4 linked regions of the Struthio camelus genome follow. The protein of the gene in region 2 purifies or fractionates together with the protein of the main gene of each other region. This does not show direct contact. Links are inferred from orthologs where the notes say so. Each region holds a gene or a part of one and is shown on either strand. Other genes may lie near its edges. The genes, in order: VAPA, PRKACB, AKAP9 and AKAP1.

The links.
Region 1: the proteins of PRKACB (region 2) and VAPA purify together in Homo sapiens (affinity purification with mass spectrometry; 4 studies listed by BioGRID and IntAct, counting the BioPlex papers as one, with this or other methods). This does not show direct contact. The link is inferred for Struthio camelus from reciprocal best matches to the Homo sapiens genes PRKACB and VAPA.
Region 3: the proteins of PRKACB (region 2) and AKAP9 purify together in Homo sapiens (affinity purification with mass spectrometry; 5 studies listed by BioGRID and IntAct, counting the BioPlex papers as one, with this or other methods). This does not show direct contact. The link is inferred for Struthio camelus from reciprocal best matches to the Homo sapiens genes PRKACB and AKAP9.
Region 4: the proteins of PRKACB (region 2) and AKAP1 purify together in Homo sapiens (affinity purification with mass spectrometry; 4 studies listed by BioGRID and IntAct, counting the BioPlex papers as one, with this or other methods). This does not show direct contact. The link is inferred for Struthio camelus from reciprocal best matches to the Homo sapiens genes PRKACB and AKAP1.

The regions. Positions count from the first base shown.
Region 1 is NC_090943.1:116,078,907-116,086,390, reverse strand, and holds the start of VAPA (vesicle-associated membrane protein-associated protein A), read left to right. Parts: upstream 1-4,466; 5' UTR 4,467-4,766; coding exon 4,767-4,842; intron 4,843-7,484. UniProt on the Homo sapiens protein: Endoplasmic reticulum (ER)-anchored protein that mediates the formation of contact sites between the ER and endosomes via interaction with FFAT motif-containing proteins such as STARD3 or WDR44.
Region 2 is NC_090949.1:21,796,096-21,803,753, reverse strand, and holds the start of PRKACB (cAMP-dependent protein kinase catalytic subunit beta), read left to right. Parts: upstream 1-4,638; 5' UTR 4,639-4,719; coding exon 4,720-4,906; intron 4,907-7,658. UniProt on the Homo sapiens protein: Mediates cAMP-dependent signaling triggered by receptor binding to GPCRs.
Region 3 is NC_090943.1:26,951,160-26,958,352, forward strand, and holds the start of AKAP9 (A-kinase anchor protein 9), read left to right. Parts: upstream 1-4,191; 5' UTR 4,192-4,357; coding exon 4,358-4,405; intron 4,406-7,193. UniProt on the Homo sapiens protein: Scaffolding protein that assembles several protein kinases and phosphatases on the centrosome and Golgi apparatus. Required to maintain the integrity of the Golgi apparatus. Required for microtubule nucleation at the cis-side of the Golgi apparatus.
Region 4 is NC_090957.1:20,970,747-20,978,393, reverse strand, and holds the start of AKAP1 (A-kinase anchor protein 1, mitochondrial), read left to right. Parts: upstream 1-4,632; 5' UTR 4,633-4,651; intron 4,652-4,722; exon of another isoform or gene 4,723-4,799; intron 4,800-5,052; exon of another isoform or gene 5,053-5,180; intron 5,181-7,647.

The sequences.
Region 1 (7,484 bases), on a different chromosome or scaffold from region 2:
ATCGATAATGATAACTACGTACAAAAAGGGTCTTAATCTCACCCTTACAAAAAAGAAGAAAGACCAAAAATGTTTGTGGTCAAATCATAGCTTTCTGCTGCTGCAGAGGAAAAGTAAAAGATCTTCCAGTGACTAACCTCACTATTGAAAGGCTCATATCATTCTTGTGTGCACTCTAGCAGATGGAAGCATACTTATATTTGACTTAACAATGTATTCCACCAAGTACAGGAAAATAACATAAAACCAACACATTACACATTCCATGTTCTGTATATTCAGTTGTCTCATTACATCCCTCATGAATGTATGAGAATTGTAAGAATCAATTGCCGAAAATGGTGTTCAAAAATCTGTTCCCTTAACAACACTGTCATTTTTCATTTGCCTTACACTGATGTGTCCTTGAATGTCTAATGGCTTTTAGCCCATTTTCAGTTGGCTGAGGAATCAGTCAATTCTTTAAATGCTAAGGTACCACCAATGGCCTCGAGCATTTTTGTCTTCAGCAAGAAAAGAAGCAAGTCCAAAATATGAAGTGTACAAAAATTTTACACTACAGCTATTTATCAGGATGCTATTATGTTTTGTGTTACTGATTGTTTCCCAGGATTAGTTTTTCTCTGCTTGCCTATTCAAAGTACATTGTATGTTTTTATCATAAGGTCACTAAGTAGAGAAATACCCTGTAGTTGAACAAACTTGAAGATATCCAACTAAGACCTACTCCTCTGGTCTGTGCTAACATTTGAATAACGCTATAAATCTATAATAGTGTGGACTTTGGTTTTACCTTTGATTTACAATATAACAAGTGGGCCTAAATTTATATTTGGAATTCATTAGCAGCCAAGTAAATTATGACTACATCATGCTTAATCTCTGCGTATGCTAAGAATAGTTTTGTATTTCAAAAGATAAATTGCAGCACCAAGAGGCAAGTTATTTCCTTAAAGGGAAATTAAAATGTTCTTTTACCTGTATACCTTTGCTGACTTATTTACTGACTTAGCAATGGAGCATGCATATGATACTTCAGTGAGCGAGATCTAGAATTTTCCCATTAATATGACAAACTGATATAGCACTTAGTTGCTTTTTCTGGCAATCTTAATAACAGCAAGAAATTGCCAAGAGGGTCACGATAGTCTTTCATTGAAAGACATTTTCAAGTTCAGAATTGGTAGGACTGAATAAACCACCTGAATAATAAACAGTGCAAAACAGTATTATGAGACTGAATAAACACTGATACTTCTCAGGTATAGAGAGAACTCATTTAATATTTAACAGCAAACGGTTTTGAAAAATGTCCAGCCATCTCCAAACTGAGATATTATAACAGTGGTACCAAACTCACCGTGTGAAAAACATTAAGATCTACAAACACACAGGACAAATGTTAACCTGAGATTAAGCAAATGTTAGTCTTCTGCCAGCAATGAATACACTAAGGATACTTCTGGGATGACATAATGATCTCACTCAAATCAGTGAGAGGTTTTCCACTGACTACAATAGAGCCAAGATTTCATTCCTCAACTTTGCTATGATGTGTTTAAAAAAATGAATCATATGTTGGAGAAGGCTGCCAGGTATTGCTAATCAACAACATAGGTTTTGTTTAATATAAAAAATGACTTCAGTTTGGGTGAAATAGCAGTACTGTGTAAAGCATGAGATCAGAAATTATATTAAATGCAACAAAATACATTAATGCATTACTAAGGTTGTACATGTTTGAACAACAACAAACACTACATTAAAAATACATGTTCAGGAATAATTGCCATTAACCCATTCACTCAGTGTTTATGTACTAACTTTGCCTTTACTGTGAGACTACATGAGCAGAACCCTACAAACATCAAGGCATACAGGCAAGCATTGATACAGGCTGCCCAAGAAAGCTGTGAAATCTCTGTCCTTGGAGGCTTTCATACCTAACAGGACGAAGCCTTGAGCAACATGGCTTGAACTCAGTTTTGACCGCCCCTGCTTCGAGCAGAGCGTTGGGCTAGAGCCCTCCTGAGGCCTCTTCCAACCTGACTGGTTCTGTGATGCTCCCTCTGCTAGCAAAAACGTGCTTTGGGCCCAGGCTTGAAGTCCATTCAGTTCCTCTTAACGTGCTGCTGAAGAATTAACCCAGTCCTCCTCCAACCTGCACACACCCACTGATGTCACGTGTCATAATCTAACATGCAACCATGTATATCATCAATGCGTTTGCACTGAAAAACATGCATGAGAAAACCTGTCAGACATGCTGTCATGTTAAGGAAAGATCTTAACTCCTGTTTCTCCTCAGATTTTCCTATATCAGAGTTGTATAAAAGAATTAGAAAACACAGGTATTTCTCTCTTCTGAAACTAGATTGAAGGAGCTACTTTTGAATTTGTGATCTCTACCATTATTTTTCACCCTGTTAAAAGGAGAAAGGATAGAACCTTTCGTAGCGTTTAGTATTTTAGAGCAGTTCTCCACGTCTTGATTCTTTGAAAGCCAAGACCCAAAAATTCTTTTGGTATGGAGAAACTCGGCTTGGGTTAAGTTCACTTATCACTTCTGAGAGGCATACATTGTGGCTTAATCTTTGGTGGATTCCTGAATAGAAAAGAACAGAAGGTGGAGGCAATAGAGTAACTGTCCTGGTTAACAACAGAAGAACAAATATAGTAGGACAGAAAAAAATGTATCTGTCTTTCACTTTATCTTCCAGATCCCAAGGGCAAGAATGCATAAACAGAGCGGAACATGGTAATGCTAACAAAGCCCAGCATCAGACAATAACTTTAAATATGTTGTACTGTAAATAAAGACACTATTTAAGAACTTATTTTATGGGCATCATAAAGTAAGTGTGTAGCAGGAAAACTACAGCCAAAATAGTTACAGGCCTTTAGCAACATTTTCAGGTACGTACCACAAAACTCCACCTATTAAAGCCAATTGCAATTAGGTAAAAATAGGCTGAGATACTGTTCTACAGTGTTTCTCAACATATTTCTTCTTCAGTCAGTGACAATATTAAAACTCACATTAGTGTGGTAGAATGTCTCAAACCTTAGGACCAAGAAGGACCGGTGCCAGAAATACTGCCCTTGGGACAGTTACTCAGACTGTTGAGGCTGAGGCAGGAGAACTGCTGGACCTGGTGGCTTGAAAGGGATGGCATGGACAAAGGTGCTGAAGAGCTGATAGAAGGAGACACAACAGTGGGAGACTAGGAGCAGAGGCAGACAGCTGAAACGGAGCGTGAAAGCTCTGCCCAAGCCAAGGCAGAGCCTGGACCTAACTTACGCCGAGGGCCTCCCCCCGCCGAATGGCCTCAAAACCCTTCCTTGTGGTTGTGGCTGAGGGAGGCGTATTCAGCGAGGAAATGAAGCGAGCCTCAACTCTTAACCATGGTGAGTTCGTGCTGAAGGCCATTTAAGTGATTTTTTCAGTGTATTTATCAGCAGGACATATTTTTCAAATAGGTTATTCTCCTCCTGTACATGTTCCTAGTATACTTTCACCAGATTGCAAGAGTCAAGAACTGCTTTCATGCCGGTCAACAGTGACCCTTAAAGCAGATGCTGGTTCTTGGTGGAAATCAGGAGTTAGCTAACATTTCGAGCCACACCTCTGGAAACTCCTTCCCTGCTGCTCCTCCACCGCCTACCTTAAAGCCAGGTGGAAGATGCCCTTTCCCCCCCCTCCTCTCTCTGATCTTGCATGCTGCTGCCCTGCTTATAACCTGGCTTGGGCCTTTCACCCCGGCGCGCCTCGGAGCGAGGATCGTTGTGCCCTGGGACGTCGCTGCGGGCTGCCCTTGCGCAGGCTGAAGCCCGTCCGCGCAGGCAGCCCTCCCCGCGGCGGACGGAAAGGCCGCGTCTCTGCCCCCAGCATGGCGGCGGGCCCCTGCCTCAGCCCCAACGGCCGCGCGGCACGGAGAGGCTCCTCACCTCCCCCCGCCCGCCCCCGCTGCCAGCCCCACCGGCCGGCGGCCACCCGGGGCGGGGAGAGCGCAAGGACCACAACTCCCAGCACGCAACGCTTCCGCCCGGCCGCCGCGCTGCATGCCGGGAGCCGTAGTCCCTCCAGCCGAGTTTTAAGCCGCCCAAAGCGTCGAGCCAGGAGCGCGGCCCAGTATCTTTCCCGCGCATGCGCATTGCTCCCGCCTCGTCCTCCCGAAGGAGGAGGGGGCCGTTGCTCCTTTCCGTTCCCCCTACCCCCCACCCCCGCCGCTCGCGCGCCCCCTGCAGCTCTAGCGCAGGGGCAGTTGGGAGGGGCGGGGCCGGGAGGGGGCACCGCGGCGCGTGATTCGCCGAGCGGCGGCATCTCGCTGGGTCTAGCTGTCAACTGGCGGCGGGGGGGGGGGGGGAAGTGAGGCGTGCGCATGCGCGCAAGGGGCCCGCCGCCGCCTCCGCCGCGCCGCCGCCCTCGTGCCTGCGGAGAGGCTGGCGTTGCCGGCCGTGCGCGCGCGCGTCGCCGGGCTGTTGAGGCAGTGCGAGCGGGGAGGCGGCGCGGAGGAGCCGGGAGCGGGTGTGGGGCAGCAGCGCGCGGAGGGGGCGCGACGCGACGCGACGCGACGCGGCACGGCGGCCGCCCCTCGGCCCGCGACCCGGCACCAGCGCGGAGCCGCCGTCCGCCTGCCCGCTGCGAGGGAGCGGCGCCACCGCCGCCGCCCGGCCTCCCCGCCTCCCACTCCCGCTCCTCCTCCTCCCTCCCTCCCTCCCTCCCCCCCCCCCCACTCCTCCTCCCGCGGTAGCGAGTGAGCGAGATGGCGGCCGCCGGGGCTCTGGCTAAACACGAGCAGATCCTGGTGCTCGATCCGCCCACCGACCTCAAATTCAAAGGTGAGGGGGAACCGGGCTGGGCAGGCCGGCCGGCCGGCAGGGCGGGGGGGAGCGGCGCTGCGGCGGCCGGACGGCCGGGCTGCGCCTCGGCGCTGGGCCGCTTCGAGGCATCTGAGCTCGGCTGGGGCGGCGGGGCCGGGGCGCCGCCTGCCCGGGGCCGCCGTGAGGGTGGAGGGGGCGCCGCCGAGCCGGTGAACGGGCTTCGCCGCCGCCATCTTGGGATCCGGCGGGGACTCGAGCGTGTCCTCGGCCCCGGCAGCGCCGCGGCCCGGCCCCCGCCGGACACGGCGCCCGCTGCTCGGCCGCCCGCTTCCCGCGGGCGGGGGTGGGGGCTGCGTCGGGGCCGCGGAGGCTGCCTTCTTCCCCGCCCCAGCACGGTGCCGCCTTCCTGTCCCCGCTTGTGCCCCAGACGCGGGCACCGGCCCTGCCGTGTCACGGCTCCGCTGGGGAGGCGGGCGGAGCCGCGCCACGGCCCGGCCCGGCCCGGCCCTTTAGCGACGGGGCCGGCTGCGGCCGGGGAGGGGCTGGGGTCCGGCCTCCTCCCTGGCAAGGGGGAATCGCGCTCCTGTCACTTCTGCGGCCGCAGGGGTCTGAGTGGTTGCGGATCCTTTCCCGAGCCGCTCCGTAAGGTCTCCCTCTATCTGTAGCAGGTAGGGGAGACCCAGGAGCGGGTGCCTTGCCGTGGTGCGAGCGAGCGGCGAGGGGAGCCGAGGAGGAGGACTCGGTTACCTTCGCATCTGGCCTTTTCCCTCTCCCGCGCTCTGGCCCACGGTGTGGGCACGCCTCTTGAGTCTAGCTGTTAACCGGTGCTGATATCTGTGGTGTTATTTTGCACCATCACTCATCGGATGTGTGAGCAGGTCACCCGCGCCCTCTCCCTGAGGGAATCTGACCCACTGGCTTGGCGAATGACACCCTCTTCCTCTGTCCCCCCCGCCCCCGTTTTCCCCTGGGTGTCATGTTTCAGGCAGGTTGTCAGTTAATACTTGGACTTATGTAAAAAGGCAGTTCGCTCCTTGGGAATGAGAGAAAGGAACGTGTGCATTTCAGAAGTTTCTGTATTTCAGGTATTTCATGCCAACCACATGACTATGAGTGGCATGAGATGCATCTGTCGGAATAGGCTCCAGTCAGTGCTTTAGCATTTGGGTTTTTTTCCCTCCTAATAAATCACAAATTAGATGATTGTGAAAAGATAAGCTCTTTCCAAAGCTAAGAGGGATACTTGATAAGTAGGGGTCTAAAAAAGCATGGTATAATAAACAGTTTTCAGTATTCAGTGAATTTCTTTTTAGTACCCATGATGAGTATTGAGAAAAATCTCCATGAACTTTTCAGTTTCAAAATATAAGTTTAAATAACATTGATCATGTTAAAAAAAATTAATGTTGCTGATTTTAAGTTTTGTAAGCAGCGTCAGCATATGCACTTGTCTAATCCTGTAAATTTTTCTATTTTCAGTAAGCTCATTTTTATATTGTCTTAGGGGGATAAAGCAGACTTTATGATGTTGTAAATTTTTTTTTTAATGGCCGAGTAGAGCAAATAAATATTTGTTTTACAGTGAAACATTGTATTCCCCCCAAAATACCTTTGATTGGCCTGGCTTTCATAAATAAAGCTTAAGTCTGGTTTATCATAGAGATTTATAACAAATTGTAATTGTTTTATTGATCCATCAGATCAATTAACCCAAAATCTGTTGGATCCCACATCTTCCTATTTTGACAGTTTCAGTTTTTAAATTGCACATTCACAGAGCCAAAACCATAGTGGAAACTTAGTTTTTTCACTTGTATTTTGTGTTATTAAAATGCTACCATGTTTGCCTGCACTTGAAATTTCAAGACACTGTGCTCTTCTTGTCAGAGTAAGTTGGAGGAAAATTTATGTATATTAAAAAAAAAAAAAAAGTTGCCATGTCTAATTTGCAGCTTGCAAACACTTCCAGCTTGAAGAAACTCTGTAAGTTGTATTTGTGTGATACAAACAAACTGTGGATATAAGGAATACCAAATAAATATTAGATTAGAAGGTCTGTGTGAAGCGACTGCCAATCAGTAGTCTTTATTGGGGTGTGTGTTTACGGTATGAAATAGGTAATCTTTAGGCATGAACTTTGGTTTTGGGCTAATGCATGTATGACGAAAACTTGTGTAGAGCAGACTAAGGAAAAACAAAACCTGAAGCATAATGAGACTGTAGTATTTCAATACACTGTAGGAAAAGCAGCACATCAAATGCTCTCTCAGTAAATATTTTCTAACTGCTTATTTTTCTGAGCTGTTTAAAAAAGTTTATGTACCACAAACAATAATTCAGTTCTAAAGTATTGCATTAAATAGTATAGTAGTGGCAGAAGGAAATTCTGAGAATTGTCTTTTAAAAACCAGATTGGTTAGTAAGAGAGAGTAGGCCTCAGAATAAGTGTAATTATGTGTAGAAAATCATGCGCCTTTGTTTAAAAAAAAAAAAAAAAGTATTTTTTTTTTCAGTGTAGCTGATTGTTCAAGGTTCTTTTTATTGCAACAATTGTCCATGGCTGTTACTGACCTGATAGTGATGATGCGTGTGTAACAGATCAGATTTAAGTCTAAACCTCTGAATAGAACAACATAGTTTTGTTGATTTTCTTACCTCAG
Region 2 (7,658 bases):
TAGTATTTAGTATTTATCTATTTTTGTACTTCATTAAAATGAGATCTAAGATTCTCTAAAGTTAGAAAAAATTCCCTGAATTTGAAAGTCATGATAATGTTTGCATTCTTCGATATTCAGTTAAAGCAGGAATGCATAAATCCTGCTGTTACTCATAGTTATGTGCATATGCATAGAGTCTATATTTTAAAGAAATTCTTTAGAGTAGTGTTGCTTTGTTGTCCTGACCATCTATATTATTTGAGGAAAGAAGGGTACTCCCTTTCTTAAAAGTTCGTTTTATGGCTTGATTGGTACAGTGAAATTGCTTCCTAGAAAAGGAAATGGTGTTACAGTGAAGATAACTGAAAAGAAATTGTCCATGTAGCTGTGTTGTGCCTGACCTTTTCTCAGCAAGAAGCTGATTTGCAAAATCCCTACCTTGGTTACAGCGTAGCGTTTTGTTACCTGCAGCCGGGATAGCTGCGCTGGGAATTGTCTGCTGGGCAATGCACACAAGGTTGTGGGTTAGCAATCAGAAGAGTATAAATGGTTTTGTCATCTCCTTCAGGTTAAAGGATCCAGTGTTCGCCTTTTTCTGTGGCTGTCATCATTCTGTTGCTTTAAGTTTCGCTCTTGTAGATTCTTATGCATTTTTATTGAAATATTATTCACTGAAATATAGCCTTACACATGTAATGTGTATTCATAGCTTAATCTCTCTCCCACCTCCCTGGCTTTTTAATATATTTTAAAATATTGCCAGGACTTAGGTGATAGGGTTAAGTGGAAAGAGAAGTTGGAGTTTCATTATTGCCTGTAGAACAGAAATTTTAGAAATCGGTTAGAAACACTGAAACAACTAACTTTTTCAGTGCAAGTAAAACACGTCTTAAGTTGACTGCCTAGCTAGTTTGGATTGACTGTGATTGGAGCAGTTGGGAGGGATGCAGCAGACATGCTGAACCGCGGCTCGATGGTGCTGCGTTGCGTGCCGGCCCCAGGAGCTCCCCGGTGCCCCGGGCTGCGTGGGGCTGTGCTGGGTGAGCAGAGGGGTGCTTCTCAGCACTGCCTGGCTGCTGAACAGTGGGGCCGACCTGGACCGCAACTGTCTGAGGCAGCTGGCTAGTTTTAATGTCTTCAAGCATAAACCATTTTAGATAATAGTATAACAGAGTTTTATCTTTCTGTTAAAGCTGGCCTAAAATAAAGTGTTTTTTTTTTTTTTTTTTTTTGGTGACAAAGTGAAAAGTTTCCTAGGGACGGGACAGTTCCCTAGAGGCAGAGACTGTCGCTAGAGGAAAAAAAGAAAAAAATTGTTCTATGACAGTAAATGTATCCTAATCAGGCCTGATGTGATATGGACACATCTGTGCAGCTGAGCTGACCCATACCTGATCCAGCTTTTGTAGCACTGAGTTGGTAGGACATGGACGACTTCTGGTCTGGATGAAGTACGACTGTTTTGCTCTTTCAGGAGAGCGTACTGCCTTAACCACAGTAGCATAGTGATAACACTACACAGCTTTCCATCAAAGCTGCCTCCATTTCTTCTTCCCGCATGAAGCATGAGTAAGATGAGATTAAGGCTGCTTGCATGTGTCTATGTAAACATTTAGTAGTGTTTAAAGTTTCACAAACTGTTCTAAGGGAAAAGCATTACTGGCTGGCAAATGGAAATCCTTTTACAAGCTGAGCCCCAGAATTTTGTCATTGATAGAGCATCGTCAGTCACTGAGCTCTGTGTGTGTGTGTGTAACATACTGCCTATGTGGAGCTTGTGTGGTCCGTGCCTCATATGTAACAGAGAAAATACTTGGTGCCAATAAATTAATACTATGCTGATTTGTAAGATTAGTATGTCAGTAAGATGAATGATTAGATGAAAGGAAATAGGAGGGTCCACCTTTAAACAGTAGAGGAATGAGGGAGATGGATTACTTCACAGAAAATCAGTGTGGTAGTGTACTTTGTTGTCCTGGACAGTGCTGGTCTGCTTGTGTGTACTAGGAAAGTGTGTTACTGTCTGTGTATCGATATTTGAATAACAAACTATGGATGTGACCAATACTTTCTTTTTGTGTTTTGCGTGTGTGGAGCAGACCTTGTTCTGTGACAGTGTTCACTGGCAGTAGTTTGTAAAATTTTGGCAATTAAAGGTAAATCCAGGTTCTCTCTTTGGATATCTTCTAACATTCCTTTTTTGATGCCTGTTTTTACCTAAACCCGTTCAGTTCTTGGATCTCCAAGGATCGATATTTCTGCTTCCTGTTTTTTGGGACCTAGTTCAAGTATCCAGGTGTCTAGGTTAGGCACTTCATTGCATTCACAGCTCTTAATTTTGGTGAGCAGGGTTGTTCTCTGAAAATACCCAGATCTCTCCATTGACTATAAAGGCCACATAGACTTTAACTTACATAAACTGAATTTTGTGAGTTGCTGTCTTTGGGATCAGGGAGGTGAAATAGTTTAGCTGAAGTGTAATAAAAAATAAGACTACAGAACTGTAAAGGAAAGGGTGGTGGGAAGGGAGAGAGAAAAGTTGAACATACCTTCATGGCATGGGGCTTTGTTTATTGGGGGCAACAGCCAAGGTCAGAGAAGATGCTGAAGTCTCTTGGCAAGCTTCCCTGGATGCTCAGCGACTTGCACGTGCTGCGGGGCAAGGCCAGAGAATCCAGAGGGGCTCTTCTCGCCCCTGAGCGTTTTAGAGGGATGAGGCAATGAGCAGGGAAATAGGCATACTGTTTTTGTCTAGCTCTTTTTTATACTACTATATATAGAGTGGCACAGCATTACTCTAGCATAAAGTGTGTGGTTATATGTGGTGTATAATATATCCACAGGGCCTGTTTGTGCCCCTTATAAGGCAGGCTAATCCCCGGAGCGTTCCCTAGTTCCATGTTTCTGGCAGCAGGAGCACCGAACCTGCTGGGGTTTCCTGGAAGTCAGCATTGATCCTGGGACAAAGGAAGTAAAAGCCAGAGAGGCTGAAGGTAGAAAAAGAGCTGCAACGGGCTGAGACCCAGGGGAGGCTGTGGTGCCTTAGCCTGCTCCCACCAAGTAGCCTGGTCACCGGCTAGCTAGAGGGTGCTCAGCCAGATTTGCAAAATGTGGCATAAAAATGTGAGCGTTCAGGCAGTTGGTCCCAGCCTTTTGGACAGGCGCTGCAGAAAGAATTGCATCGCCAGAGTGCATCTAGAGCCTGAAAGCACAGGGCTTCTCCGCGCTGGGTACAGGTTCTGGGAACTTAAACTGTGGTGCGCCTGCTGGAGGGGGCTGGTGGCAGCAGCTCTGTAAGTGACCGTGGTGAGGAACATGGTCCAATCTGTACAGCCTGGCCCTCAGCTTTATTGTTTTATCATGAGCATAGGCATTTTTGTCATCATAGTGGGTTTTTTTTTCCCCTTGAAAACCAGAAGCTGTTATGAAATAGTTATGTAATGTCCAAGGATGGATATCTGATGACATTTGGAAACTACTCAGGGAGAAGTGTGGTGGTGAAAAGTAAAAGGTATATCTTTAATACGTGTTGACTGTAAGACAGAAGACAGATTGAGACAAGTTATTTAAATCTTAAAGATTTAGGACTATTCTTAAGTAAGTAACCACACTTTATGTGCTGGCGATATACTGGGAAACCTGCCCAATGTATGTGTTCCCATTTTCACAGAAATGAATTTCTTGTATTGTCCATCTTAAGCACGTAAAATTATATGATTTAAAAATAATATAATCTAAGCTAAATACTGTTTTCAGTTTATTTCCTCTATATTCTGAGCCATGATGAATGATGCTTTCTAGATTTATTCTGCAGTTAGAAGGATCCAAACATCTTGCAAAAAAAAAAAAAAAAAGTTTCTTACATAATTCCACAAGTCTTGCAGTTGGAGCTTCTACACCAGCAATGTCGTGAGCTGGGGACCACGACTTTGTGACTCTCCTTCCAGCTGCCTTTGGAGCTGGGAGAATGAATATGCTGTTAAAGGAGGATCTGCCAATGCTGTTCATTCTGATAGTTTATCCCTGAAAAAATTAAATTCTCTTGGTTCATTCCCAGAGTAAGCAGAACTCAGTATGAATAAATATAGTGTAGTCTTGTTTTTGTGTACTTTAGAATTATTGAGCTTCTTTTAGTCTGATTTTTCTCAACATAAACGAGGAGAATAATTTTTTTTTGCAATAACAAAATAATAGTTTCTTCAGTAGATTTTTTGCAAGTAACCTCCTTGCTTAGAAAGTGGTTCTATTGAAAACGAGAGCTTACTAATGATTATATTACAGCTGGTTAAGTTTGTTGTGATTACGGTAGTACTCCATCTTACCAAGGAGAGCTGCGGCGTAGTTACTTTCCTTTTTTCATGTGTGGCTGTGGTAAACTAGAAAAAAAATCTGGCTTCTGATCTTTATTTCTGAACAAGTTTCTGAACAAGTTTCTTACATTTTAATGTAAAATGTATATTTTAATATCAAATGTGAGTAAATATTAAACTGTAAAAGCACATGCTAGAGCAGTTTTTGCAGCTTTTTAAATAACTATTTTCAATTGACGTGAAAAGAGGCTTTTGACAGTATAAAACAGTACATTATAGAGCTTTTCTTAACAGGAAGTAGAAGAGAGTAGTGGTTAGAAAACACTGCCTACAGGAAGTTTGATGCATGCATTGCTCTTAGTGTCCCTGAGTTCAGCTCCTGTTAGATATTTTCTCTTTTGCTTTGCTGAGTTGCCAGAGCGCATAGATGGCAGCTCCGAAGGAGATCCCTTGCAACCAGTGCACAGGGACAGCCACAGCACTACAGAGACTGGAAGGTTTTGCTAATCGACTCTTTCATAGGCATTCGAAGGGTGGTGCACACGAACAGAGAGCGGCTCTGGAGAATGAGAGCCATCATTTCTCTGAACTTGCTGTCCTATGGGACAAATCAAGTAAGTAGGGTTTTTGTTTGTTTTTATAGATATTTTCTCTTCAGTTTGCACAGCAAGGGAAGAACTTGCATATTTGTAGTTGGATACAGATACTGAGCTGTGATGCATTCCAGAGGCAATTTTACAATTTAATACCGAAAGGTGTTAATTTGAAGAAAAACCTACTGCATCATGCAGGGGGAAGAGTGGTACCATTTCAGAGGACTGGGTGGCTGGTGGGAGAATTTATTCCTGGCCCCTTCTTCTCTGTTAAAGTACTGTTGACTTGTTTAGACAAGGTTTCTCCTCACCCGCAAATAATTTTTTGCTTATAAATTATTTCCTTTCTTTTCAAATTAAATCTGCTGGTTCAGCAGAAACAGAAAACCCATTAAAAAGTGTAGTGTTTAAACTTTGGAATGGGCAGACATTGCACAGATTAGACTTCTAATTACAGGACTCTTCATCATTTGTCACTTTATTTTAACATGTGCTATTTCAACATGTGCTGTATAGTGGTAAACAACATAATAGTTAAAACCAATTTTATGTATTAATTTAGTATGGGAATGCTGAATATCATTAGCTTTAATTTCTTAGTTAGCAAACCATTTATGATATGTGTTGCTTAAAACCTTTCATGATTGCATTTTGCGTAAGAGAAATGAGAGGTTTCAGAAATACCACAGTGTAAGTAAATTGTCATTTGATCTTCGTTTTCTTCTTTTAAAGCAATGCATTATTTTGCAAGTCAGTTATTGTCTTTGTGGTTAAATATTCATTTTAAAATGTTACAATATGGTAATTGATGATAATTTTGTGCTGGATTTCAGTTTCATTGATGGATTTGGAATAGCACAATTATTTCTGTTGGAAATAGGCCTTATTGGCCTATTAAACATCACCCTGTTACCATGAAGAAAGACAGTGTTAATCTTTCTCACTACTTTCAATTTGAAGTATTGTACCAGTGGGGACTGAATCTGTTCTCGGAGGAGATGCAGTAAACATGGAAGCAAAAAGCTGTTAATGCATTGGCCTAAAACAGATTAAATCTAGGTCTTCCAAATGAGATGGAAAAGGATAGACTAGTCTTGTTGGGAAGATAAATGATGAAAGTGCATGAATTGTGAGCCTCCATTCCTCCAAAATATCTTCAAGTCAGTAAAAATAGACACATGCTTGTGTTTATATAGAAGCTCTTTTTTTATATAAGTAGCTATTTGAGAAAAAATGACAACTGAAGCATCTTTGTTTATTTAATACAAAGAAAAAATGGTGTTGACCTACTAACATTTACAAATTGTGACCCGTTTGTGTACAAGTCTCTACTATTTTTTTTCCCCTCTATTTAAAGCAAGCTTCCTTGTATGACATGTTTGACAAGGAAATGGAATGTCGTGTCTTTTGGTGATAAACATGGTGAAAATGGTTGTTCTATAAATGCTATTTTAAGTAATGATTAAGCACAGTGGTTGTATATAATATTTTCCTAAGCAAAGTTAGTGAGCTGATAGCTGAATTTTGGCTGATTATGTAAGTTTGGGTTTAGGATGAAATTCTGAATACTTACCCTGAATATTTGCTCTCAATGCTTTGCTCTCAATTATCTCAATGATAGTATTTATTCAGAAAAATAACGAGTAGTTTAGGTACACATGGACTAAGTCTGCCTTTCTAGATTCTCATTTCACTACCACTTGAGCTCAAGAAATGATAGAGAAGATAGGGAGTATAGGGACAGTAGCGTTCTTGTGTACTGCTGACTTGCAGAAAAAGACAGCATCTGTGAAAATTATTTTCTTGCCTAATAGTTAAATATCATAGAATTGCATCAGGTCATAGAATTCAGGCCATAGATCAAATTCATAGGAAGTTTAACAAGCAAGCACTGTTTTAAAAACATCATACTGTTGTCTTGTAAGGATATCTGAATATTCACAACTATTCTGCCTGTATCACTGCAACTTATAAAATGTTCTTGTTAGGTTTTAGGTGAGGCTAAATAGCAGAAGTTTAGTGTGGATTGCTTCTGAAATTTGAGACAAAAGCGTTGTTTAATTCCCAAAAGAAGTTTGGGAAATGACTTCTCGGATTTTATTTATTTGTTTTTTTAGTTTTGAATTGGAATTAATTTGAAAAGAAAGTTAATATATTAACACCTTTGGCTATAATGAAATGTTGTAATAGATCTGTTTCTATGCATGTCCTCTACAGAGGAGTTACTGCTGAAGCTACAGCTTTGTTGAAGAGGAAGGAACTGCTTCTTGCTGGGTGGACTTTATTTGTTTTAAATGTTGTCCGTCATCCCGGGTTGTGGATTAGCTTAACTTGTCATGTGATTTGAAGGCTGTAGAGTTTTTCAGTGGTTGATTTTGAAATTGATTTCATGTCTTTGCTTCCTTGTTTTCATATGTAAAACAGGTTGTTTCTAACATGCCTTGGATTCCTGGTAATGTATGAAACCAAGCGAATTTATTTTGAAAAATGTTTTAGAATCTGATGGGTCAGAAATGCCTCAGGATGCCACAGGCCTTCGAATTTATTTAGAAAACTTGACTGTGTGTGTTAATGAAGAGCTTAAACTAGTAATCGGATCAATTGTGCTGTACAGCCAGCAGATGAAAGGGATACTGTGTTAGTCATCAGAGCTGTACATTTCTTTCTTAGTTTTACATGTCTTGAATATGATCAGCTGCAAGTATCTGGGGCCTGTGTTTTGATTTTTGTTTCATTTTGTTAGTTGCTTGTTGGTCTTTGGAAGATTGAGGAG
Region 3 (7,193 bases), on a different chromosome or scaffold from region 2:
TTTGGTAACTGGTTCTCTGTACGTTGGAACTCTGTTTTCTTAATCAGTGCTCATGCTGTTTCATGGCCTTAGATGTCTTTTTTCGTTTAAAAAAAATAGAAATTTGAGCTGTCACTTGAGACCTTGATTGCCACATTTGATAATTTTTCATATAGCCATGCTTCTCCACTGATTCTTGAAAGGAAAAAATACCCTATTTTCTCTTTAAATCCTAAAGTTTTCCTTACATCTCTACTTCCCCTACCTGTTAACCACCAAGCCTCGCTAGACTATAATGGCATTTGTTCTGCCATGCTTTTAAGGAGAGAACACTTGTCTGCTCCTAAAACACCTTATAAGGTAGTCCTGACAAATAACATACTTGAAAAATCCCTGAGGTAAAAGTGGCAGAGTTTTTATAAAATGCTTGTATGACACATAGATATAATATCTAAAGACAGTTGGCCAAGTTCTACCCATAATTTGCATTGAGTTGCACTTGCTAACAGCAAATTAATTTGCTTTTGTAACGCTCCCTCAGCAGTACCTACAATGAGTCTCTGAAATTATGAGCTTTACACATGTAACCTAAATCACCTGCCTGTTGCAACCATAGCAACAAAGCAGCTGCAGCCATGCTCAGTGCAGCTGTGGAGCAGATGGGAAGGGACAGAGCTGGTGCAGAGGCAGAGGTAAGCTAGTCATTGGTAACCTCACATTCTTTGTACAATCTCACACTGAGATGGAGGCAAATGATTTTTTTTTGTTATAAGCACTATGACAGGTAAGCACTGAGGCCCTGTCTTACTATCAGTAAATAAAACTCTGCATCTGCTTTCATTGAACATAGTGGGATCCTGATCAAATAATGCCTCTGGCACAGTCACCTCTCAGATGGAGGTGTCTCTCATTTTCACATCACTCCATCAATTTAACGTTCACTAAAATCCAATGTATTTTCCTGTCAGGTAGGCTTTGTACATCAGATCTAGTGTCACAAAAGAACAGTTAGGCATTTTTATCAGAGGTTGCATATCCATTGCCAGGAGGACTACTCTACTGCATTACAGTGAATCAATACACACGTTGACGAGGAAATACACTTTTAGCTTTCTTAAGACACGTAAACTGGCATGGTCATTGTATCGGCATTAAGAAAACATCTGACTGATGTGATACAGCTTGTTTGTTTGTTTATTTTGAACTAGTTCGGGGACTCTCATGTAGTTCATGAGGGAGATTTCCATTTCACTACTTCGTTGTTGTTATTGAATGAAATAAAGCAGAGTTGGATAGTCTCATTATTCAGTGGTATTGCTGATTATTATGATGCTTGAAAACAGAGAGTATCTGAGGTCCTTAGTTGTTGCTGTAAGAGATTGTATTATCAGTTTAGGCCTCTGATATTTTGTAATTTTGCACCCTTTTTACACACCTGATCTACCAGCAGCATGCTATGGTCTGATAGTCCTTTCTGATTCTGGCTTCCGTGGATTGTGAAAGAATTTGAGTACCCTAACTAGAAATTAGTGACTGTCACAAGTTGTCCTTCAGCTTCATCTTTTGGTTTTGCAATCCACTGAAGTCCACTTTGCAGTCCATTGAGTCACCAGACATGCCTTCACTGAACAGTGAATAAAGGAAACAAAAGGGATAGGAAAGAGGTAGAGTTTCATCATTACAGAAAAACGCTAGAGGTGAAGAGGCCTTCGTCCTTGTTTACAGAGCAACACATCTAAAAACTAGGTTTGATATTCACAGTTAGTTCAGTGTAGTTATTTACAAATATTTCCAACAATAAATATATTTCTCTGTAAAAATAACCTTTGGCCAAAACAGTAGTCATTCATATTTTAGAGAGTATCAGATGTACAGTCTACCAAGTAACTCAGGTTCACTTCACATATGCTACTGCTGAAAGCAGCTTACACATGTTTAATTTATGTGCCTTCAATGAGCATTAGAAAGTTACTTCAAAATATTGATTATTTGTAATCCAGACTCTTCAACAGTGTCTTCCACGCTCAGGAAGGTGAATATTATTGGTCATTTCTGAGAGTTAAGCAAGCAAGCCTTTCTATACCTGAAAGTATAGAAACCTGACCAAGTTTTGAATTCCAGTCAGCTAGCCTTGCATAAATTCTTAAAATAGGAATTTAACACAACTGAAGTAGGAAATCATACTGTATTTGATTTTTTTCTTTCTTAGAAAGCCCAGTTCCTTTGCAAAAAAATAAAGAAATATTATCTTCTGGGATATTTTATGCAATAGTAATTTCCACAGTACTCTATAGTTTGTCTGTCTGATTTTTTCACTTTCATTGCCATGAATTAGGTGTTCAGCTGAAATCCATTAGAATTACATGGATATAAGCCTCGTAACTGAGAGAAAAATTAGACGCATTGGTTCTTAGCTTTAACTCAAGAACCCATTTAATTATGGGATTTGAGGAGTTTGTAATTATCATTTAAATGTGATGTTTACTGATAAGAAATTACTATCAAGGTGAAATTACTATCACATAATGCACGTGTGAAATTTTACTGACACCTAACAGCTAGTTCAGTGACACTAGACTCCTTCAGCCAAGAGGAATTTCATTTGCACAGAAAAAGTGATTTTTTTCCTCAGGGCCTTTGGATTCTCTGTGAAGGGCCTGAGTGAAGTGTTTCTTCTGCTAACTTGAGAACATGTTTTCCAGAAAGGATCTCAAATCAATTTTTATTTCTATAAAAATATTTCTTCTTTAATTATTAATTTCATTTTCATTTGCTTTTTTTCTATAACGTGCTTTTCCTGCAATGCAATAGCGAGGCCCGAGAATTGTAACTGAAACATGTGCTTGTTTCAAATACAGAGCAAAGTATACTATTGCCTTCCATAGGATGGCATCATCTTCTTTTGACATTAATGGCATTCATTTCCTTTTCTACTGCAGTTTGTAGGCTATTATGTTGTAAATACAGCAATACACAATACATGTACTGAGCAACAGATGATTTCAAACTTTTCTGTGAAGTGTACTTTCTTTTAGGAGCAGTGAGGAAAACTTTAAAAATTTCATTTCAGATTACAGGTTTAGTTTACTTTGGCAGTAATATGGGTGTGGAATTTTTCTGCTTGGAGTCCTAGTATTTTTCCTCTTGGTCCTGGTCAGTAATACTGTGCAAATAGTTTTTCCTGTTGCCATTTTTTTGGTGCATCTGGGCTTTGCTGGAAAATTAAAGCAAAGGAAGAACATATATTAAATACAGTACATAAATTTTACACTGAAAAACAAACATTTAGTGGAAAAGGTGAATTGTGTTAAAAAGATCGGCAAGTCTGAGACGTAAATGCAGTTTTGGATTTCACGTTTAATACGGCGGAATGGTTCCAAATGCAGAATAAGGAATGTGCTTGTTCACATGCAGCTGCTGCACACCAACAGAGAAGGGCCGCCAGGAACGTGTGCATCAGTGCCGTCCATCACCTCAACAGCAGTAACACTCACCCCACAGGGAAATGAAAGAAAAAGCACGTCACAAACATGTAATGCAATTTCCTATTAGCCTTGCAAGGCACACGTTCACTCGATAACATTAAGCAATCCCAGAATATTGCTTCTATTGACTGATGAGGTATAGAAATTGTGTTAGCATTTAACTGCCACGTGCCAAACGGCCTACTGTGATTTCTAACAGAACTATTTCAACGTCTCTTACATGAGGTCAGCACTGTAGCCGCAGAGGGCGGGCTGCGCAAGACACAATGCGGCAGCCCCCCCGAACTCCGCTACTGTCCGTTCGGGTTTTTGTACGAAGGGGCCCCAGGACCGCCGGCCCCTCGCCAACGCCGTTGTTTCGGGGGGAGCGGCCGCCCCTCGCCGTTCCTCCCGCCGCGAGCAGCCCGTCCCTGCCGGTGCCCCCCGCTCTCTCGGCGGGGAGGCCGCGGCCGTGCCCGCGCCGGGCGCGGGTGGCTCCGCAGCGCCTCAGGCCCCTCGCCGGAGGCGTCCGTCAGGTGCGGGGCCGCGGCCGGGGCAGCGCCGCCTGCCGCCTCTGCCCGGGCTCGGCGCGGCGCCCGTCGGGGCAGCGGCAGGGGCACAGGCGGCGCCGGCCACACCTGCCGCGGGCGCGGGGCCGGCTGCCGGGAGGGAGGGAGCGGGAAGGGACGGCGGCGGCTGGAGGAGGAGCAGGCGGCGGCCACGTCACTTTCCGCGGCCGCGTGTTTACGTGGAGAGGAAGATGGCGGCGCCGGTGGCTCCGCCACGGCAGCGCCCGTCGCTGTGAGACGGCAGGAGCGCGCGAGGGTGTGCGCGCCGCGCCGGGCTGTGCCGCGGGGGCGGGGTGGGCCCGCCTCCGGCCGCCGGTAACGCTCTGCTCTGCCCGCACAGGCGCCATGGAGGACGAGGAGCGGCTCAAGAAGCTGGAGGCTGGGAAAGCCAAGGTGAGAAGCGGCGGTGGTGGCGGCCGAGGGGGCCGGAGAGGCAGGGCCGGGGGGCGGGGGAGCGCGGCAGGGGCTCGGCTCGGCGGCCCGCGGCGAACAAAGCGGCGGGCGGAGGAGGCGCTTTGTGCTGCCTGCGCCGCCGCCGCTGGGGCTGCGCTGGGGAGCGGCTGGGGGCTCCGGGCCGCTTCTCTGGCGGGGGCGGCAGCAGCCCCCCCCCCCCCCCCGGCAGGGCCCCGCGCCGCCTGCCCCGCGGAACCGGGGAAGGGCCGAGGAGCAGCAGAGCTGAGCTCGTTACCCCTTTAAACTTGCCACGCACATTCCCGTTTGCCTTTTAAAACCGAGCAACTCCCTGAAACAAAAATCCTATAAAACCTTCCAGGAAGTTTGAAAAAACGCCAGCTGGCTCTCAGTGTGGCACTAATGCGGTGAGATGGTATTAGGAGGCAGGGAGTTAAAGACGCTTCCATCTCATGTGGTGCGGTGCGTTTGTCAGTTATTTTAATACGCCGGATAGTATAAATGTGAGTGGCTTCCAGAAGTTAACGGTAAGGTCTCATCACCTTGAAGCCAGTGGTTCCCGGAGGCTTAGCGTGCCGTGGTCACTGCACGGGCAGCTGCTTATACTGTAGGTAGCCTGCTCATCGGGGTGTTAATCGGGAGCTTATGGTTTTACTCTTCAGTGCGGCTCAGTACACCCTGGCTGTAAAGCACTTCTTCACCTTGTGGGCAACAGGCCCGAGTTAACCGTGATCTAAGAGTTCATCCGTCTTAATTTAAAAAGCTGTGATACGGTCAGTGGCATAAGGCCATTATCAGCACTCGTAAATAAATAAGGTAAAAGTGTTTTGACATTCAGTATCGCTTTGTTCCTCCCAGCAATTATTGCTAAAGGGTAGATTTAGAACCTTGTAAATCAGTCATTCACGAAGATGCAGATTTAACTTGGCATAGGCTAGCAGTGCACCTAGTGAAAAGAAAAAACAAAGATAAAGCTACAAAATAGCAGCATTGTCTTGCTGTTATAATCTGCAGAAAAGTAGCAGTAGTTCAGCTGTTAAGTACTGAATAGATATTTTTGCTGTGTTATCATAAACTTTTTGTAACTCTGCACCTGTTTCTGTTTCTCTTGAAGCAGTGGTCAAAAGTATCAAGAAACTCTTGTATATGGAACTGTATATAGAAGAATTTGTTCTTAAACGCTTAGAGCAAAAATGATGTTATGCAGTGCTTTTAAAAGATACTGGGACAGATCAGGTGGCTGGTACTGGTGGCAGTCTTGCGTTCTTTTGCACCTAGCATGGCTAATTCTTTTTCAGAAAATTAAAAAGTAGTCCACAAAGAAAAAGGTTGAGGTAAATCTCTCATTGTTCTTGTGATTTGTAACAATGGCAAATTTCACTGGGATGTATATCTTTCTGTCCCTGTCTGACAATTACTGAAAAGTCAACCCAAAGCCAGGACTCCAGCATAAATGCAGTGGTTTCCATCTTATTTTGAGAAAATACATGTATACATTTTAGTAGTTTTGTTGCACTTTAGGAACAGTCATAACTCTCACCCTTCTAGCCTTCTCTGACTGAAACCTAATGACGACCTTCCTGTAAGTATTTGCCTGAAGACTTGCATATACCATGCTTTTAAACATCCCTTGTGGTTTAAGTCATTATAAATTTTTAAATCTATGTGATTTACGTGGTAAGGGACTATAAAAGCAGTGTCAGTTGTTCCGATTTTCATTAGTCTTCTATTTATGCCTTTTTTACACGTGAGTGGTATAAGTAAATTTGTTGTACTGCAGAGGCTACGTTACGCTCTTCCAGTGACAAGCATCGCTGATGAAGATGGAAGAAATTCTGTTAGCTGAGAATGGAAGTAGCAACTGCTCCTCCAGCCACTTCTCTCCTCCCTCTGTCCCCTTCCCCATATAAACACATTCACAGTACTGTGCTCAGTATTGCTCCCCACATTGTTTGGCTTTGATGCCAAACTTTGATGTTTGTAATGCAAACCATAGTAGCATGCATCCAAAAACCTTTTGAGCCTAACCACTGAATGTTCTTTAAATAAGATAGCTGGAAAAATATATTACAGTATGTATTGTGCTAAAAGCAGATATTGCTTTACTTCAGATACCTTGCTGTTGCTCTCAGAAATAATACATTTTACGTATAAATAAGATATGACGTAAACTGTGGGATGGATGTTGGTAGTTGAGGGAAGCCAGTAGAAGAGTCTAGTAGACGCTATGGAGGTTCGACAGTGGATTTGTTATTCGAAAATGGGACTTATGTTCTTGTTTTTTTTCTCTAAAGTAGATAGCTAACTACTACGAAATTTCAGTTTATGCAAAATGAATTTTCTGTTAAACAATCGTCTGGTTGTTTTCTGATCATAATTTTCAGTAGGAAAGCTTTGAAATTTGGTTTTCTGTGAACTTACTTGCTGTGGAACTTTACTTATTTTTTATTTTATTCTTGATGTTGTGTTAGAATTCTGTCTGTCTGCACAAAGCTTGCGTAGAGAAGCGTATATCAAATGGGTTTTGTGCAAAGGAAGGTCCTTTTCTTTGAGTCTTTTTTATTCATGTTGGAAATGAGAAGCTGCTTTGTGTGTCTTCTCTTGATTGAATGGAGCTAAGTGTACGCAAGCCTGGCTCTGTACGAACACATCAGCCTTCTCCAGTAGACCATTTAAAAAAATGGAATAAAAAGCTCTTAATGGAGATTCACCAACGTTCATGTGTATTTGCTGATGTTTTTCTTTCTCTCTCTTTTTTTTTTTTTTTTTT
Region 4 (7,647 bases), on a different chromosome or scaffold from region 2:
CATGAAGAGTACTAGTGACCATTCCATTTCAAAGCAAGTACGTTCCTTTCCCACAAGTAAAGTTCATGATTTATAGGTGGTGAATCCTATGTGCCTTGCAACGTTGGTTTCTTCGGTTGACTGCTGGTATGTTTAACGAGTCCTCAAATGAAAATAAATCCCAGGGTTGTGTGGGTGGAGAGTGTAGAATAACGTCTCCTGTGATGTGACTTGTTAAAACAAGTACAGGTTTGTTCTTCAAAGCAATAATGAAGAAAAGTCTGATGATTGTCTCCCTGGGGATATTCAAATGATAGGGCTATAAATAGGAAAGAGTAAGTCTAGCAACGTGCTAAAGAAACTCCCACTGAACTATTAAATTGTAATTTAATTTTTTTTTTCCTCGTAGCAGACTGCCCTTCAGAAAAGCTAGCACGATCTGTTAGGCTGCTTTTACCTCCTGGTTAATGTATTTAGAGCGTTAGATCCGGCTAGGAGATCTGGATACCCTATAGAACAGATTTCCTGAGATGAACAAGAATTGGGCATCCAGACCTCCTCCACAGCCTTCGAAAACACAGGAAAAATCAAATGGCTGGGTCCAGAAGAGAGCTATCAGGAAAAGGCCTAACTGGGATTGACTTTTCCAAGCTCTGGTTTACTGACTCAGTTGCCAAAGGCTACTTATGTTTAAGGTATGGCCATAAGACTCCAGGCCACGGTGCAGTGACTACCTTTGCCTTAGCTCTGCTGGGCTCCATTGCCTTTGCTCTAATTTGCTTTCTTTGAAGCTCCTCCACTTGCTGGCTGTGCTTCCCCCGCTCCTTACAGTAGCAGCCATGGAATTTTTTTTTTCCTTTCCTTGGTGGAGAAAACCCTCCAAGGGCAGTTTATTAACTGCTCCCTACCCCTACTAGAGCTCAGTCATTCTCAGAAAGAGGCCTGGAGTGCATTTAGCACAGCGTCGAGCAAGTAAAAGAAAGGGCTTTTCAGTTCTCCTCACAGCAGCTAGCACATGCAATGAGAAGGCAAGGAACAGTTCTGTGCAGTGTGAGAGACCCACCCAACTATCTGTAAACAGACATGACTGAACGTGGGCTGGAGACAGGGCAGAGACAGCAACACTAAGGCAAAGAAGAGGCTGGTTCAGAGCAATACAAAACATACAAAAGCTCCAAGTCTCCAAAATACAAACACAAGGAGGCCACTGAGGTGGCAGGGGCAGGACAACAAAGTGAGGGAAGGAACCTCTTAATTTACCCAGAACATATAGCATCTAACGCCTCAGTGCAGTAGGGCTCAAACAGCAAAAGTATGTGCTGTTGAATATTGACTTACTCACGTGAGACGCAGCTCACCCAAAGGTGAAAAGGGGCCATCACCCCGCTCTGTGCATTCTGTCCCTCCGAAAGCTGCACTGGATCTGTTCTCCAGGTCTTATTCTTCTCTGCTCCTCCGCACAGCCAGGCCCATCCTTGTTTCTAGTTCCTGGTCTCATACAATTCCTGAAAGAGGGAAAATTACTGCTATTCCCTTCATCAAGTACAGTGCCCACATGGCTGCACTACTCCGAGGAACTCCTGTACAGAGACAGGCATGGCGCTCAGAAGTGATACACCCTCTCACCCATGGTAGCTCTCTGCCTTTTGCATGGAGATGAGGGGTCTGTCGTGGCTGTGGGAGTGGGACTCTTCTGCACTGCAGCATTTGGAGCAATGACCCACTTACAGACAGGCGAAACCAAGCTTGGGCTAAGAGAAGGGAACCTGCTGTATCACTCTGACGCTTGGATCACATACCCTGCAAAGCAACTCAGCAAATATGCTTCTGTTGGCTTTAATTTTCCAGTTCTGTCTGAGATGTTAATGGGTATACCCGTGATTTACAACAAAGGCATAGGTAAAAAAAGCAAGAATAAATTAGCCTTGAGGATGCTGACATAACTTATCTGTTCTTTTCTTGGTTTCACTAATCCCTTTTTCCTTGTATGGGGCCAATTTTTCTTACCAGAAACATCACTAAAATTTAACAAGCCACCTAGAACATTTTCCCACTCATCGAAAACTCAGAAACATGTACTGTTTCTGCATGAAAAATGTGACTTATCAGCCACAGAGGCAGTTATTCATTCTATTAGCAGTTTGTTTTATTTGACTTTTAGTTATGACTTCCGTATTACTCAACAGAATTTTATTTTTTCGTTTCACTATAGTAAAGCTTACAGACTTCAACTAAGATAAGCGCTCCACTAGGCTATGCAATCCATGCAGGGTAAGATATCGTCCTTGCCCCAAGAACTTAAAATGTTTACAGTCACTTCTTGTGGCTGACACAGATTGTCTTCGTGACCTTGGATAAATCTCTTAACATCTCAATACCTGAATTGCCTCACTCAGTTAAGGATTGCAGTCACTTGACAGGAATTCTTATACAATCTTCTGAGATTTTCAGATTAAATATATTAAAAGGGCAAAGTCTTAGCGTTGCTGGCTTTTTTTTTTCCACTTCACACGTTATGCATTTTACCATCTGTTAACTGATGTTTCTAATTTATGACTGCTCTAAACAAAAGAAAATGATTTAGGCAAACCAGGAACTTTTCATAGAAAAATACTTATACAAATGAGTAATTTGGGAAGACAATCCCACTCAGACACTATTTTGTGATTTTTTTTTTCTAAGTTACTCATTTACACTGTCAAACGTACTAACTGCCTGCTGCATACACATGTAAATGAACAACTGAGCAGTTTTAATTCCAGTTACTAGTAACCAGTAACTGGTTAGTAAGGCCAATAAAACTACCTTGATATCCGATTGTTAAAGTGTTCACAACAGTAGATTTCCTGCATCATTTACTTAACTTTTATTATAGCATGCTGTTTACAGCTGGGCAATATAAGAACTGAAAGAAGTTATGTAGCATGAAACCTTGGTTACTGGAGAAAGGAGGCTAATTTTGAGCAATTTGTTGCTATCAGACGAAGATGACAAACAGGCTCTCACAGGTACGCAGACTCTAAGGATGACGATTGAGGCTTTCACATACTGCTGCAGCTCCTGCTGGTTATCAGCAGGAATTACTCTGTTTTAATGGCCGAGTCCTCACTTCTTTCTCTGCTGTCCCCTGCTACCTCTTCTTCCCCAAAGCATGCTTGCATGAGCCATCTCTCCCTTGCCTATTTCTTCCCTCTGACTTTGCCACTGAGTATCAAAATGATAAAAAGCTGCTTGAGTCATCCCCTTGGGAAATCCAGAGCCACCTCTGCTACCAAGAAGGCTCCAGTGACGAACCGAAACCAGTTTTCTCTTCTCACAACATAGAAACAAATGCCAAATGGGTGCAAGTAAAGCGGTTTCCCCAGAGTACATCTCAGTGCCCAGATGCAGCAGGTGCCCTCTGGTTTGCAGCAGGAGCAAAAACTTTGCTAGGCTGCATGGAAAAGAGAAGCATCGTAGAAAAAAAACTGATTCCCGTGACTCCTTGCCTTTCCATGCAACTGTGCTGGATTATTTGGAGAGAGGCTTCACCACTCCCAAACTGCTCTTCCCACAAAGACTTGGCATGGAGGCCACGCTCCTCCTGTTCTGGGTGTTAACAGTTTTATTAACACAGAAATTAACAACGCTTCACCATTAAGGTCGGCATGGTGAAGGCATGGCCGCGGCTCAGATTGCTCAGGCCGCACCCTATATCCTTTTCCTCTTCCATACCAGTCCGCAGTGCAAACTCCCAAGCTCCTTAGAGTAACGACCACCACTTCTCGCACTCTGCTCCAAGTGACTTGCCCAGAACTGTCCTGCAAGCAACCCTCAGAGCGAGGGGCAGAACCGGGCCCTGCACACCGCTCCTGGGCGCTTTTCAGCTGCGCTTCCCCTCCCCAAATCCTCCAAGATTCCTTGGGACACAACAGTCATTTACACACCGTATTTCTCTTAGGGATGCAAAATGCTCACGGTGGGATGTAAAAAGCTCTGGGGGGAAATGTAGTTAAGTGTTTAGCAATGAAATGAAAACATAACCCTCATTAAACCCAACGAGCACTACTGCCTCCAAGCAATTACCTCGCTGAACATGGATTTTCATTTGTCAATCCGGTTCAGCCGTGGTAGCAGAGACTCGGCCTGGCATAGCTGCTGCCTTACCCGACGGCTTACTATTTAACACCTCCTCATCAGCTGGGCGCCGGGCAGCACGTGGCTAACACTTTGCCTCCTAGCAGAGATCTGACTACGCGTCTGAACGGCCTGGGGGCCGTGGCCAGCGCCGAGCCCCATGAGGGGACGGTCACAGGCTGCGGCTGTGGGGCTGAGGAGAGCCGCACAGTCCCGGCGGGGGGCAGGGCTGACAAAGGCGCCCGACTCCGCGCTCTCTGAAGGAGGGAAGTCAGCCACCGAAAGCCCGGCGGCAGCGGGAGGCGCAGCAGGTCCTACCCCTCCGCAGGCGCCGCGGGGTGGGGGGGGCGCCGCCATGCCGGCGGCCGCCGAGGCCCTCGCGCGCGTAACGGCCGCTGCGCTGACGGTTGGGGGGGGGAGGGGACAGAGGGGCGTGCGCAGGCGCGCGGGCGGGTCTCGCGCGGCGAGGAGCTCTCGCGAGAGTGGGCGGGGCGGGGCGCGCGGGGCCGGGCGGGGCGGGGCCGGGCGGGGCGGGGCGGGGCGGGCGCCGGTGCAGGTCGGAGGCGCCAGTGCGCGGCGGGGCCCGGCCGGGCGGCACGTGGGGACGGCGCGGCCCGCGGCGGGCGGGGGGCGGGCGGGAGCGGGACTGGCGCCGGGCACCGGGCACCGGCGCGGGGGAGGGGGAGCGCCGCGCCGCACGCACTGTAAGTACCGCACCCCCCCCCCCCCCCCCCGTCCTCAGCCCCCTCCCTGGGCCTGTCAGCCGCCAGGCCGCCCCGGCGGGAGGCCTCCGCGGCGCGGCGCGGGCCTGGCGGCCGCTCCCTCAGCCAGGTCGGGGCGGAGCGGAGCGGGCCGGGCCGGGCCGGGCGGCGCGGGGCTCCCGCCGGCAGCCAGGCCGCGCCGGTGACCGCGGCGGGCCAAGGTCAGGGGCGGCGCGCTCGGGGCCGGCCGGCCCGCGGGTCACCCCCGGCGGCGGCGGCGGCTCGGAGAGGAAAGCAGGGGGCGAGCGGAGCGCCGCAGGCTGGGTGCTACCGGTGGGGATGTCTCGCGTTGTCTGCGGTGCGATAAAACTCACTCATAGTCGGGTAAGGCCCCGTCAAGCTGGTATTGACAAACTTCTCGTGTATTGGCCTTTTTTGTTTTTTTGGTCTTTATGGCAGTGTATAGCGTGGTGTGTAGTCAAGGCTGTAGGAATTAAATTGCATTTCTCCTCAGGAAGTAATATCCTACTGTCCTTGCCCTTCTGGAAGAAGTTTTGTTGTTTTGCTCTTTATTTTTTCCTTGAGGGAAACAAGTCTAAGCTACTTGTGTGCCGGGGTTGGGCAGCTTGGTCTGGGTCTGGCTTTCTAAGGTCTTTGTGGCAACCTGGTAAAGCATAATATGAAGCTGCAGCTGTGGCAGGGCAGAATGAGTAGGCATCTCGCTAAGGGCATCCTTTTCATGGCAGGTGATCTGCAGTGATAGGAAACAGCAACTGAAGCTGCACGCTGCCACGATCCACATGGCAAGGAAAAGTAAGGGGCCATCGGATGGAAGTAATTCTGACTTTCTGCGTTTCTAGGCTCGTGTGCTGCCTTCGTAAGGTTGGCTGTTGTGCCTACACCTGCTGGGTGTTATCAGAATTGCTGTGGACTTTGTCTCAGGTGAAAGGAAGTGGCTTGTTGCTGGGGAAAGTGGTAGCAGGAGAAGGTAACTTTACTTTTCTCCTGTTTGCTTTGTGCCTGTGAATGATCTACTGAGTTACAGCCGTATGTCTGGGTGCAGTATAGCCAAGGAAGAGCACGTGACTTGCTGGAGTGCAGCACAACTGCTTGTAAGGGGTGTGTGACTTTTCCTCGGTAGCACGTGGATTGGAGCTGTCAGAGCAAGGGAGCTGAGTGGCATTGGCTCCTCTGCCAATGGGTCACTGTGTGACCCTGCTCAGATCACTTAACCTCCTCATTCTTTAATGAGCTACCTGCGTAATGGGTGAAATACTCTGTAGCCTTCAGCTGACCTAATGTGCCTTTCATCCAGTAATCTTAATGTACATATGATGTAGCCTGAAAAAAAGGATAGTGCAGTTTCACTATATGTGTCTTGATTACACAGTTTTATTCTTGATTAATTGGCTTACATGTAAGTGCTCACCTAATGCTGAAGAAAATTAAAACTCTTTAGTAAGTTAAAAGGAGCAAGAAACCTGTAGAACTCAAGTTATGCTGTAAGCTTACTAGAACCCACCTTTTCATTACATAACTTTCTGTACCACTCACCTGACAGTCCCACAGCTTCTGTTTCCAGTGCTCCTTTGAGCTCTCCAAGGACTTCTAGAAGCTCTCATGAGACAGCAAGGCTTGGGGGAGTTGGGCACGCCAACCTCACTGTGGTGGTACAGTACCTTGCCCAATGGGGCCAATGATTGTTTGCTCTGCCAGACGTGAAACAAAATCCTGGAAGAGGCTGTCCAAGGATATCATTAGACTCTGGAGGAGCTGCATGAGAGGGCTGTAGGAACCCAGGTTTTGTGTGTTCTTGTAGCTGCTGCTTATTTAGGTGTGCTCTCTGTAGTCGCACCAAGTTTCGATACCTGGCCGAGGATCCATGTTCCATCTTAAAGCTACCTGGAGGTGCTTTGGGATAGCTACGTTGAAAGTCTGTCTCTATCCTCTTTCATCAACTGCCTAGAAAGCCTGGGCTTTAACCTAGGCGTTCCCCAAAGCCTGAAGTTAGACAACAGGAATTCCCCTTGCCAGCCACAGTGTGAGATGAAGGCACCTGTAGTTCAGATCCATCATGCTACATAGGTTCCTAATTCCTGCAGGTCCTCATAGGAGTTAACTATGAGAGGAGTCTGGTTGTTGAGGATTGCAGCCAAAGCTGTTCAGAGCCAGAAGCAGGTGACTTGCTACACTGAGACTCTTGTGCTCATTTCAAAAATGTTGCAGGCTGTCTTTTGGGATATTTGAAACAAGTCTAGTTTTTGCAGTAGTAGAGTTATCTGAAGAGCGTAATGCTTTTAAAGCAACATACCCTACTTATCTATAGCGCTCATCTTCCATGTGCGCTTAACTAATGTGAGCAATTTATTTAAGGTATTTCTAATGTCCATGGAGACTGTAATAAAATCAGGCTTGGTATCCCCAGGTGCCCTCCGCAACATCTAGAAGTAATTAAAAAACATGAATTACTTTCAGTTATTTAATGTTTGAGATCTAATGGCTGGCCTTCTTTAAACTGTGATTTCTAACTACAGTGCTCGTGTGGAACTCTTCACGCAAATGGCCTGGTTAAACTTTGTGAAGTGTAACTTCAGGCAGCCAGTTTGAAATACTTGTAAGGAGCTGTTTTATTCAGCAGGTGCTTAATATTTCCTGGAAGTTAAGGCTATTGAGTTTGCTTTTCGCAGGGATCCCAGAAGGTGATAGGTTTGCATGTAACTCATTGCTTTGCAGTCTGTGTTCAGCTGCTCTACTTATTAATTGTCCCCTGCAGGAGTTCTGTGCAACTTTGCTGCTGCATTTTATACACTAGCTGGAAGCTGACTATTAATTTATGGGATCTGTACATCAC